3 linked regions of the Callithrix jacchus genome follow. The protein of the gene in region 1 interacts with the protein of each later gene in a pairwise test. Links are inferred from orthologs where the notes say so. Each region holds a gene or a part of one and is shown on either strand. Other genes may lie near its edges.

Region 1 (3,752 bases):
CCTTCTGCTGCTGCCATTTGATAAATGGGTCAATAAATGCCAAGTAAATATATTTTCATTGTTATTGGCAGACATATAATTAACTCAGAATAAAAGAAACAAGAAATCAATTTAGGCTTACATCTTCAGTTCTTCCATTAGTCATTTGCATTATAATTGTGGTTCTACTTTTAATTCTTTATGCACATATAAATACCATCTTGACTATAATTATAAATCGAACTATTCAATTATAAATTAGTATTGTATGAACTGTGAGCCTCATCTGTTAATTTTGTTAGATACAAATGTATTATTACCCACATATATGAGCTGGTTAAAAAGCAATGCATGCTTATGATATTAATTAGAAATTTCAACAAATGTTTCTAAACAATGGTAGGCATTTTCTCCGAATGATAGCTACAAATTATATTTTCAAAGACTCTCCCTATTATCTATCAAACTATTAGTACTAATTAATTCTTTCAACACACTACTGTATATGATATACTAAGTGTTAGATAACAAGCAGTGGGAATAAAAGATGGATAAGGAAAAAATTCCACATATGTTGCTCACAAAATAGTGGGGGATGCAAACACAAATACAGGTATGTATCATTTTACCAAGATGTCTATGGGAAGGCTTTATTGGTCATGTTTGAGCAACACCTGGAAAGAAGAGCTGATGGAGAAATGTTCGCTGGATGGAGTAATGTTCTCTGATTATTTCATTCTCAAAGAAATCTGAAAATTCCCCACAGTGGTAAGCTAAAATAGATATATTTGAAGCAAAAAAACTTCCTCAAACAGACTTCACATTACACATTGCTTGTTTAGTTCATCATTGGTTATTTAATAAATAATTTTGAATAACTCTGTCCCCACCCATAGCAAGGTCTTCATTGTGGCACACTTAAATAATGTTCTTTGCTTCCTAATAATCTATTCCCATCTTGACAATCAGAGGTCAGAAAGATCTTCCTAAAGCTACCTTTTTTTTTTAAATACGAGGTCTCCCTATGTTGCCCAGGATGGCCTTAAACTCCTGGGTTCAAACTGTCTTCTCACTTTAGCCTCCTAAGTAACTGGAACTAAAAGCACATGCCACCATACTGGGCTACCTAAAACCACTTTTACTGTTCCCCGATCAGAAATTTGCAGTGGTTTTCTGCTATTCCCAGATATCAGCCCTCTGGTTTGACTAGATTCCTTTAACATACGCACTGGATCATATTTGCCTCCTCTCTGTCTGGAATGCTTTTCTCCTGCTACTTCCTTCTGTTTGCCTCTTCAAAAATTCTATCCACCCTTCAAAATCCTCCTTCAAAAGCCATCAGACTCTCTTGCTTCTATTTAAAATAACAGAACTTTACAAACACTGCAGGAAAGAGAGGAATGCTAGTGGAAAACATAGTTTGGATGCCAGGCATGTCTAAAATGTGGCAGAGAATTTTAAAACAAAAGGCAGGGGCTTGTTTTGAAAGTTACATACAATTGTTATATCAACGTAGCACACAAATTATCATTCAAAATGTATATACTGCACCTACTTTTTAAGTAACATAATGATTCTTCTAATGACATTGTGCTCTTTTAAAACCTTAACCATCCCACAAAATAAACAACGAATTCTTCATTACCTTAGATTCTTTAGGGCAAATTCATATTGGAACTGAAGGGGTCACTGGATTCAGAACTTTCAACATTACCAGGCAACATGGAACTAAAACAGCCAGCACAAAAGTAGTGTGCTTCCTACCTGAAGGACAGCTGGTTAAACAGTGAAATATCCCCAAAAGTCAAGTGAAGGCAGGCTTTCTCAAGTAATAATTAGTATGCTCTACATTTCAATACCTTAGATTCCAGCTCGATTTTCTCTTCATTCAGCTTCTCCGTTGCTTTCTCAATTTTTTCACGACATCTGGTTATTTCCAACCTCACTATAACAAAAATTAAATTTTTAAACACATAGATCTTTCTAAAGTCCGATGTTGGCGGCGTTTGAGAAGCCACCTTTCAGCTGTCTTTCCCTCAGCATGACAAGCAAGCTCCCCTAAGGGCTCTGACCACTGCCTACGGGATTTCCTTCTGCTCCAAGCACCCAGCACCAGAAGACGAAAGGCCCCATGCAAAGGACAGAAATCCCCCGACCTTCTCGCATCAAACGGCGACTCTCCTCCGCTTGATGCTCGGTGAAGATGATGTGCTGAAACAGGGACTCCAAGCTCATCTCAGGGCCTGGCTCCTGCGATCCTTTTCTCTCCCTTCAAGATTTTATGACCAACCCTGAGGATCCTGGAAAGCACAATAAAGAAGATGGAGTCTTCTAGAACTATTCCCAGATAGGCCTTTGTCCAACTCTCGGTCGCCGGCCCAGCAAGAAGATGGAGCCGACGCCGGACGGAGTCTGCGGGGTCTGAGGGTCCAGGGACGCCGGCCGCTGCCGCCCCTTCCTGCCCTCAGCCTTGGTTTCCCGTTACAGTTTACAAACCGGGCTTTTCTCCCTCACGCCCTAAGAGGGCAGGTTCAAGGTCTGCCTTTTTCCCTGGTGGAACCCCTGACGCAGGCCCCCGTCCCCCTACGGGTTTGTCTTCGCTTTGGTGGCAATAAAAATAGCAGACCTTGGCTTTTGAGGGCGTGTGGGCAACAGCCCTTTCTGTAGTCAGCCCTTTAATCCCAGTCCTCTCTCATTTTAGGGATAATGTCCTCAAAGTGCTCTGTCTTTAAGCAAAATGATACTTGCCAACAAAACCCGGGGCCAAAACCTTCCGTATGCCAAGGGCCAGCGCCTCAGGTCCAGCTTTGCCTGTGAGAACCTAAACTACGGCGGCTCGTTTGGCCCATCCTGCGGTCAGCGGGTTTGCCCTGGGCACGTGAGCCCCGAAGGTCTTAGGCCCAGTTGCAGTTGAGATGCTCGGTATCCAAGGCATAAATACCCAATATTATAAAGCACAGAGTAACTATGATTCTAAATATAAACTTGCACAAAGTCTTTTCCTTTGACGATGGCAAAGACTGCTATAAATGTGCAATGTCTGACATTCCGCCTTAATCATTCCTTTGTAATCAGGGCATATCTTTTTTGTCTGCTTTAAAATTAATCATTGCCTTTTGTAATCAAGCTGCAGTAATATTAACACTTCAATATCTGCGCAATATGTGTCAGAGCACAAAGTGGTTGCTAATTAAAGCTTAAACATGAAAGGCACCTTTGGGACTTTTGCGTGGGATTTTTTTAAATCAAAAATTAAAATATTTTTAGTTTTAGTAGGTTGAAATACTGACATTATAATAAACATTTGACTTTATTTTTGAATGTAAAATTGACGTTGGTTGAACTTTAAAAAGTAATTTGTTAGAATTTATTTAAAATTAAGTAAAATAAACGTTTGACTTTATTTCTGAATGTAAAATTGATGTTGGTTGCACTTTAAAAAGTAATTTGCTAGAATGTGTTTAAAATTAAGTAAAATAAGGTAAATGTTAATTCTGCCACCTCACAATAGGCTTAATTAATGTTTCATTAATGATGTAGTCTAATCAGTTATGCATTTTAACTTATTCCAAATTTCCACCTTAATTTCCATCAAGCCACATATGCATAAAACTTAATTCTTTGGCTTTATTTTAAAAGAATAAATACTGAAAGGTATACAAAGCAGAAAAGAACTGCCCATAAGCATATTATTTAGAAGTACATATTAACAGTTTACCAATTCTCTTCCAGGTAGCCCTCCTCACTCTTCATTCTTCCTTTATAAACTTGAA
Region 2 (3,752 bases), on another chromosome or scaffold:
GGCTGACTATAGTCAAGAATAACTTAATTGTACATTTTTAGATAACTTAAGCGTATAATTAGATTATTTGTAACTTAAAAGATAAATGCTTGAGAGGATGGATACCCTCTTCTCCATGATATGGTCATTTCACGTTGCATACCTGTATCAAAATATCTCATGTGTCCCATAAATACATATGTCTACTGTGTATCCACAAAATTTTAAAATTTTTAAAAATTTAAAAATAAATTAAAGTCTGAGAACTATAAACGAAATGGTTAAGAGCACGAAGTGTTCAGACAGACATGGAGACACCGCTTACCTATTTATGAACTTCAGATAGGATTGCCAGATTTGAAAAACAAAAAACAAAAACAGGATGCTCAGCTTAATTTGAATTCAGGGCCAGGCCCAGTGGCTCATGCCTGTAATCCCAGCACTTTGGGAGGCTGAGGCGGGCTGATCACCTGAGGTCAGGAGTTCAAGACCAGCCTAGCTAACATGGTGAAACTCTATCTCTAAATAAATAAATAAGAAAAAAATTTTTTGAACATAATTTTTTTTTGTGTTAGTATACACACACACACCATACTACACACACCTACTTCTTATCTGAAATTCAAATGATCTGAAAGCCCTTACTTGAGAAGATTGCCTAACTTTTTCATTCCTAACATACACTAAGCATTTACTAAATTTTACTTATTGTTATTTTTGTTTTATTTTTATAAGAAGCAGTATCCAGCAAAGTTCTTGTTGTTTTTGAAACCCTGGCTGTGTCACAATATGACTAGCTGTATGATTTAATCTAGTCATTTAATTCCTGGGAGCCCAAAACAGGAATTATAAATGTCCTTTCACTGACTTGCTGTAAAAGTGAGAGAGAGAACGCTGGATGAAATAGCTCCCCAAGGTTCGTTGTGGCTCACCGCCCAAGCCCAGGTACACCAAAACTACACATCCCACAATCCTAGGCGGCGTCCCCTGGCCATTACCTCATTCCCTGGCCTCGTTCTCCCCAATCCTGGTCTCTCCAGGGGTGAGGCAGCGTGGCTGTTCTCGCGACTTTTGCTCTACCCTTCTGCTGTGCTACTCCTGTCGCGAGACTTCCTGCTCATCTGCCGCTCCCTTTGCCGCCGCCTTAGCCGGGGACCTGAACCCAGCCTCTCCCCTACCCGAACACCGTCCCCGGCTCTACTGAGGCCCGGGTCCCCCAGCCCTGTCTCGCCGCCGCCATGGCGGACCCTAAATACGCCGACCTTCCCGGCATTGTGAGTACAGGCCGGCACCGGCTCCCCAGGACCGCGCCCCCGACTTCCCAAGGACCCCCAACAGAATCCAGTCCGCGACCCCTTCCACCTGCAGCCCATCCTCCGCCCAAGGTCTCCCGCCGCTCTCTCTCCGACCGGCCGCAGCACCCTCCGAACTCTTCTGACCCAACTGGGCCGGGCCGCCGCACGGCGCACCAGGCCACCTTTCCGGCAGGCGCCGGTAGCTCGACCCAGATATCTTCTCCGGGCACTGACCGCTTGTGTCCGAGTGTTTCCACCATCCATGTCAACGCCGCCCGTGCCCCCCAAAACCTCTCCATAAGACCCCTACATCCCTACCCCATACACACACACCAGGCCACTTAGTGATGGCCTTCATCCTGCCAAGGAAGAGGTTACTGTGGTAGAACCCTCTTGTGCCAGATAGGGAGCTCTATCCTTGGGGGAACCTGTGCCCTCGCCCCCGCCTCCATGACAATCCTGGCGGGTACCTTCCTTTTGTGCTGCCCTGCTTGCTTCTCAAGGTGGGGGTTGGGACACAGGACCTTGGGTACTAAGGTTCTGAGTCACTCACTCTCAATCCTTGTGCCAGGAAGTGGTGTACTGGGCCTAATTGGAGGATAGCCCTCACCTTCTTTGGCAATACTGATTGCCAAGGACCTGCCCGCCTCTAGATTTAGGGTAACATCGTTGTTATCAGTTACAGTCACTGTTTACTGTCAGGTCCCAACTGTTTCCTCTGTTATCCCTACCCCTTGAGGCAGGGGACCTGACATACTGTTGACTCACAGGGCTGGTGGAGGAGAAAGGACAGAACCCTGGCATCACACTCTGTCTTCTCCGTTAGCTTATTCAAAGGGAGTGGGGTAAGGGGTGTTGTTGGATGCTGGGTAGTGAGATTGGGTGGTCACTGCTTCTACCTGCAGGCCAGGAATGAGCCAGATGTTTATGAAACCAGCGACCTACCTGAGGATGATCAAGCGGAGTTCGATGCGGTAAGAATATGTGCTGCCACAGGACTCCTCTGGACTCTGACCTTTCTCCCCTAGACAGGTCCTTCCCTTTCTCTGGGGAGCTACAGCAATAAGCGGGTATGCCAACCCCAGCCTGAGTGGTATATAGTTGCAGGGCTTGCAGAGGCCATGCTGGGCTTGCAACCACCAGTAACGGCAGGCAGGAGGGAGAGTCAAGTGGAATTAAAGCGAACAACATTTGTTTGCAAAGCCCTCATCCTTGGGCCTTTTAAATAACATTGAAATATCTCAAAACAGGTTTGGGGGCTAGTGACTTAGGCTCTGAGTTCTAATCCATGGAAATGAATCATGAAGCCTGAGCACTTTTAATAAACTGCCTGAGGTTAGGAAGTAGGCCTTACTAGTTGCTACCAAGAACTAGACTCTGAAATATAATATGGAAAAATACTTTTTAAATATGAATATCCAGTAGCCATTTGGCAAGGAATTAAGAAAGTGATTTCAAGACTTTATAGCAAAACAAATTTGAGGAAGAATGTAAATATTTCACGTCAAGGAAGGTGAGACTGGTTGCATTTTTAGATCCAAAAACTCTGTGGATGGAGTAATTAGGTGTGGACGTATTTCAGCTATGAGGGGAACACTTAGTATGCTTTATTGATGTGTTCACTCTGTGTTTGTTTGTTTTTGTGCAACGCAGAGAAAGAAATGTCGATGCCCCCCAGTGAGCCCCAGACTAATGGAGAGTTAGGATACATATAGGAAACATATGGAAGGAAACAAACCAAAACTGAGTGAATGGAAATCAACATAGTAAAAACTCTAAGTGTCAAGGGGGACAGAGATCTACTAGCATGTCTTATAGCATGTGTTTTTGGTTCTATTATTTCTGAAGAGAGCTGGGCTATGATCACATTGATGATGTGAGTTCTCAGTAAAGGTGTGTCCAAGAGTCATTGCAATATGCAGGCTCAGTATGCTTGTCTGTAAGTCCTGTGGCTATGTCTGTGGGGCTGGTTAGTTCTGGGGAATGCTGACTGCTGGCTTACAATGTATGGCTTGGCGTACTCACTTATTTCTTATTTGACTCCCCTATGTGGAAGTGGTTCTTACATTGTGGGAAACACCTTCCCTGTTCCTTCTCCCAGTGGTGTGATCCTTGTGGCTTCCATATTTGTTGGCATGCCAATCTATCCCCCAAGCTTGAGTATCTTGTAGATAATAGAGCTGATGTTGCTCAAGGACCTGGGTGTGCACCTGTCCCTCAAAGAGGTGTCTTACAGGAAGCTGTCTCTGTCCTCACAGAATAGGAGAGTATACAGTTGGCTCTCTGTATTTGAGGGTTCCAAACCCATGGATTCAACCAACCATTAATGGAAAACATTTTTTAAAAAATGAAAGATAGGCTGGGCGTTGTGGCTCATGCCTGTAATCCCAGCACTTTGGGAGGCCAAGGCAAGTGGATCATTTCAGGTCAGGAGTTCGAGACCAGACTGGCCAACATGGTGAGACCCCATCTCTACTA
Region 3 (3,327 bases), on another chromosome or scaffold:
AGCATGTGGCACTCCCCTCCCTAACCTCTGCGACATGGCAACCACCAAGACTAGCTGAAAACCGAGGGTGAGTCCTTTCATTAGCTTTTCCCCTGAGCTGCATCTGCCCCGGCTACCAGCCAGAACACAAAAGCTTCCTGTCTGATTAGCGTATACTTAACTAATAGCAAACCCCTTCTCACAGAGCAGTTCTATGAGAATCATCAGGCCTCTCTTACCCCTCATACCTCATAGCTGCTGAGGCAGGGAATTTTTCCAGAAGGCCCAAGGCTACCAGCCAGCAGAATTAAGTGTCATTCCAGTGTCTACCCAGGCCTGACAACATCGTGCTCCCAGAACAGCACTGATAACACTCATAACCACAGGGGCCTACAGAAGGTGCCTCGAGACTGAAATAGGAGCACTCATGGCACAAGAAGGCAATGCAAATTTCATAAGCAACACTGAGGACAAAGGCAGTTTCTGCAGAAATGTCATGGCTACCTGGGAGCCCAAGTCTGAAGGAATTAGGCAGGGATCCCAGAGAAGGCTCTGATTTTTCAGGTCAGGCCCTAGGATCTCCTAGGTCCAAAGGTGAGGCTCCCCTGCCGAGAGAACCTGGCCCGTCACTGCAGGGAGAACTATTTTTAGAACACTTAAAGCGTTTTCAGAGCTTTGACAGGTTGAAGATTGTCTGTTCATGGAGGGGGCTTCTGGGAGAAGCTGCCTCTGGCTCTGAGGCTAGCTGGATTGACCTTTCTTCCCATTCCCGTAGTCACCTGAGCCTTCCCACCCTGGATTCAGTGCACGGTGAGGCCACTGCCTTATTTCTTGTCTGTCTTACTCTTTTCCACAGACTGTAGGCTCCCAGAGAGCCAGGCTTATGTTCTTCTTGCACCCCCAACAGAGCACACTGAGCTAGGGGCCGCGATGCTGAAGGCAGCTTCGCACATCGCTTGCTCTCTGCACGGGGCATGTCAGCTCCGAAGGAATCCACCTGGGCCAGGTCCAACTCAGGCCGCTGAATTCGCCTCCATGATCCCCCCCGGGCCTCCCTGGCGCCAGAGGGCGCTGTAAATACTCCGTGGAGGTTCCCCGCGGCTGCAGTCTCCCGCCGCATCCGCGCGATGAGCTCCGAGGCGGCGCAGCTGCTGGAGGCTGCCGACTTCGCAGCTTACAAGCATCGTCAGCAGCGGCGGAAGGACCCGGAGGGGACCCCCTACATCAACCACCCCATCGGTGGGCACCTCGGCCGCGGGGCACCGGCTGCGGCGCCTGGGGGGCGGGGACTGGGAAGGAGACGTGGGGGGCGTCCACCTCGTTGAGCATCTATTTTGTCCCAAGCATAGTGCGATATTTAAGCCTCACAACAATTGGAGCGGTAGTCGTGATCGTTCCCTTTGCCGGTCTACACCGAGAGGGTAAAGAACTTAACCAAGGTCACCCAGCTAGTGAGAGGCCACAAGGGGCCACATCTGGCTCTCCGAAACCCACAACACACAGCCCTGGAGCTCCCCCGGAGCTGACTTCCTGCTTTGCCCCTCCCCGTCAGGTGTGGCTCGGATCCTGACCCACGAGGCGGGAATCACTGACATTGCAGTGTTACAGGTAACTTCCCCACTTCTCTGCCAGGAGTCTGGGATAGGGATCGGGGGCCCCATTCAGCAATGGGCATCCCTTGGCTAGCATCTCAGGGCTGAATGGGAACTTGTCCCCAGGCAGCCCTGCTCCATGACACGGTGGAGGACACAGACACCACTCTGGATGAGGTGGAGCTACACTTTGGGGCACAGGTGCGGTGCCTGGTGGAGGAGGTAACAGATGACAAGACTCTGCCCAAGCTGGAGAGAAAGCGGCTGCAGGTGGAGCAGGCGCCCCACAGCAGCCCCGGGGCCAAACTGGTGAAGCTGGCAGACAAGCTGCACAATCTGAGGGACCTGAATCGCTGCACCCCAGAGGGTACGCTTTCCTATGGGTTCTAAGGGAAAGGGGAGGGGGATGCCACCTTCTGAAGGCACAGGTTGGTCAGTTCCCCTGAAAAACTCTGGGCATTCTTAATTCCCAAATTAATTCTACTATACCACTCTTGATCTGCCTTCCTATGGTCAAAATACAATAGCTGAGCCACAGGCAAGTTTTTGGGACAGCTCATCCCATCAGGAACTCATGGCCTTGAACCAAGCTTGCCAGGAAGCAGGCAAAAGGCAGTGCTGTCTTTGACATCAGGCTAGCAGGTTTCTGCCGATTCTTATGCAGGATGGTCAGAACAGCGAGTCCAGGAATACTTTGAGTGGGCAGCGCAGGTGGTGAAGGGGCTTCAGGGAACAAACCAGCAACTGGAAGAGGCTCTAAAACGTCTGTTCCAGCAGCGGGGACTGACACTCTGAGCAGTGCTTGGAGCTCTTCAGCAGCACAACTCCAGCCTCGTCCAGGCCGGACAGGATTCACGCACCTTTTCTGTGCCTCCTGTGCTCCCTCCATCCTTCCCAGATACCAGAGGCCAAAAAAAGACTTGCATTTTTTCTCAATCTGAAGGTCTCCTGCTAACTAAGCTGAGCCCCCTGAGTGTGGGAATAAGATGTACCCATCCATTTCTGATGCACTCGCTGCCTCTCCCCAAGTCTTGGGTCTGTTTGCTATTTTGCATGGTGGGATCTCTGTTCCCTCAGGGACTTGAGATTATGTAAGTACTAGTTCCTAAGTCATTATGGTCAATAAAAAGAACTATGGGTAAAGGTGTAAATTGCTGCTGTTCCTTCTCCAGCCTCCTGGGTTGGGGACTGGTAGGCTGCATACCTGTCCTTCAGCAAAGCAGGGTTCTAATTGTGTGTCCCTGCATCACCTCCCTCAGGTTGGGGGTTTAGCCCCTCCGAGCCTAGCTTCCTTATCAGTGAGATGGGTTGTGTAATTATCAGGTTAGACTGTGAGGTGCCTGATGGAGCCTGACACATAGGTGCTTGTAGGGCTGTTGGCCCCACAGGGTTGTGGGGTGTCCCTTATGCTGTGCTGAAGTGCAGGATCCAAGAAATAGACAGGACACTGAAGAACTGGTGAAGGGCATCTGGACTTGGGGGGGCCACGCCACCTGAGGGGAGACAGGCAAGGCCCCGAACATGCAGAAGCATCTATTCATTAGGTACAGGCAGGGGGAAGGGTAGTAAGTGAGGTTATCATCTATAGGCTTAGTGATAGGGCATACATAATCACGTGAGACACAAGTGAGGGGGCCACCCCGTTATGTTACCTGGGCAGAGAGGTGGGCCATGTGCAGTAGGGGGCCGTGCTGTGTGCAGTAGTAGAGGGTCGTGTACAGAAAGGGGGTCCACCCCTATTAGGTCACCGAGACAA

The links. The genes of interacting proteins can lie anywhere in the genome.
Region 2: the proteins of CCDC172 (region 1) and DCTN2 interact in binary tests that used the Homo sapiens proteins (3 or more experiments, as listed by UniProt). The two-hybrid records come from large-scale screens. The link is inferred for Callithrix jacchus from reciprocal best matches to the Homo sapiens genes CCDC172 and DCTN2.
Region 3: the proteins of CCDC172 (region 1) and HDDC3 interact in binary tests that used the Homo sapiens proteins (3 or more experiments, as listed by UniProt). The two-hybrid records come from large-scale screens. The link is inferred for Callithrix jacchus from reciprocal best matches to the Homo sapiens genes CCDC172 and HDDC3.

What each region holds. Positions count from the first base shown.
Region 1 is NC_133513.1:109,276,220-109,279,971, reverse strand, and holds the start of CCDC172 (coiled-coil domain-containing protein 172), read right to left. Parts: upstream 2,813-3,752; 5' UTR 2,728-2,812; intron 2,280-2,727; 5' UTR 2,215-2,279; coding exon 2,136-2,214; intron 1,925-2,135; coding exon 1,839-1,924; intron 1-1,838.
Region 2 is NC_133510.1:62,151,648-62,155,399, forward strand, and holds the start of DCTN2 (dynactin subunit 2), read left to right. Parts: upstream 1-1,102; 5' UTR 1,103-1,217; coding exon of another isoform or gene 1,218-1,253; intron 1,254-2,179; coding exon of another isoform or gene 2,180-2,186; coding exon 2,187-2,248; intron 2,249-3,752. UniProt on the Homo sapiens protein: Part of the dynactin complex that activates the molecular motor dynein for ultra-processive transport along microtubules. In the dynactin soulder domain, binds the ACTR1A filament and acts as a molecular ruler to determine the length.
Region 3 is NC_133507.1:19,505,356-19,508,682, forward strand, and holds HDDC3 (guanosine-3',5'-bis(diphosphate) 3'-pyrophosphohydrolase MESH1), read left to right. Parts: upstream 1-1,082; 5' UTR 1,083-1,106; coding exon 1,107-1,218; intron 1,219-1,531; coding exon 1,532-1,587; intron 1,588-1,697; coding exon 1,698-1,938; intron 1,939-2,235; coding exon 2,236-2,366; 3' UTR 2,367-2,714; downstream 2,715-3,327. UniProt on the Homo sapiens protein: ppGpp hydrolyzing enzyme involved in starvation response.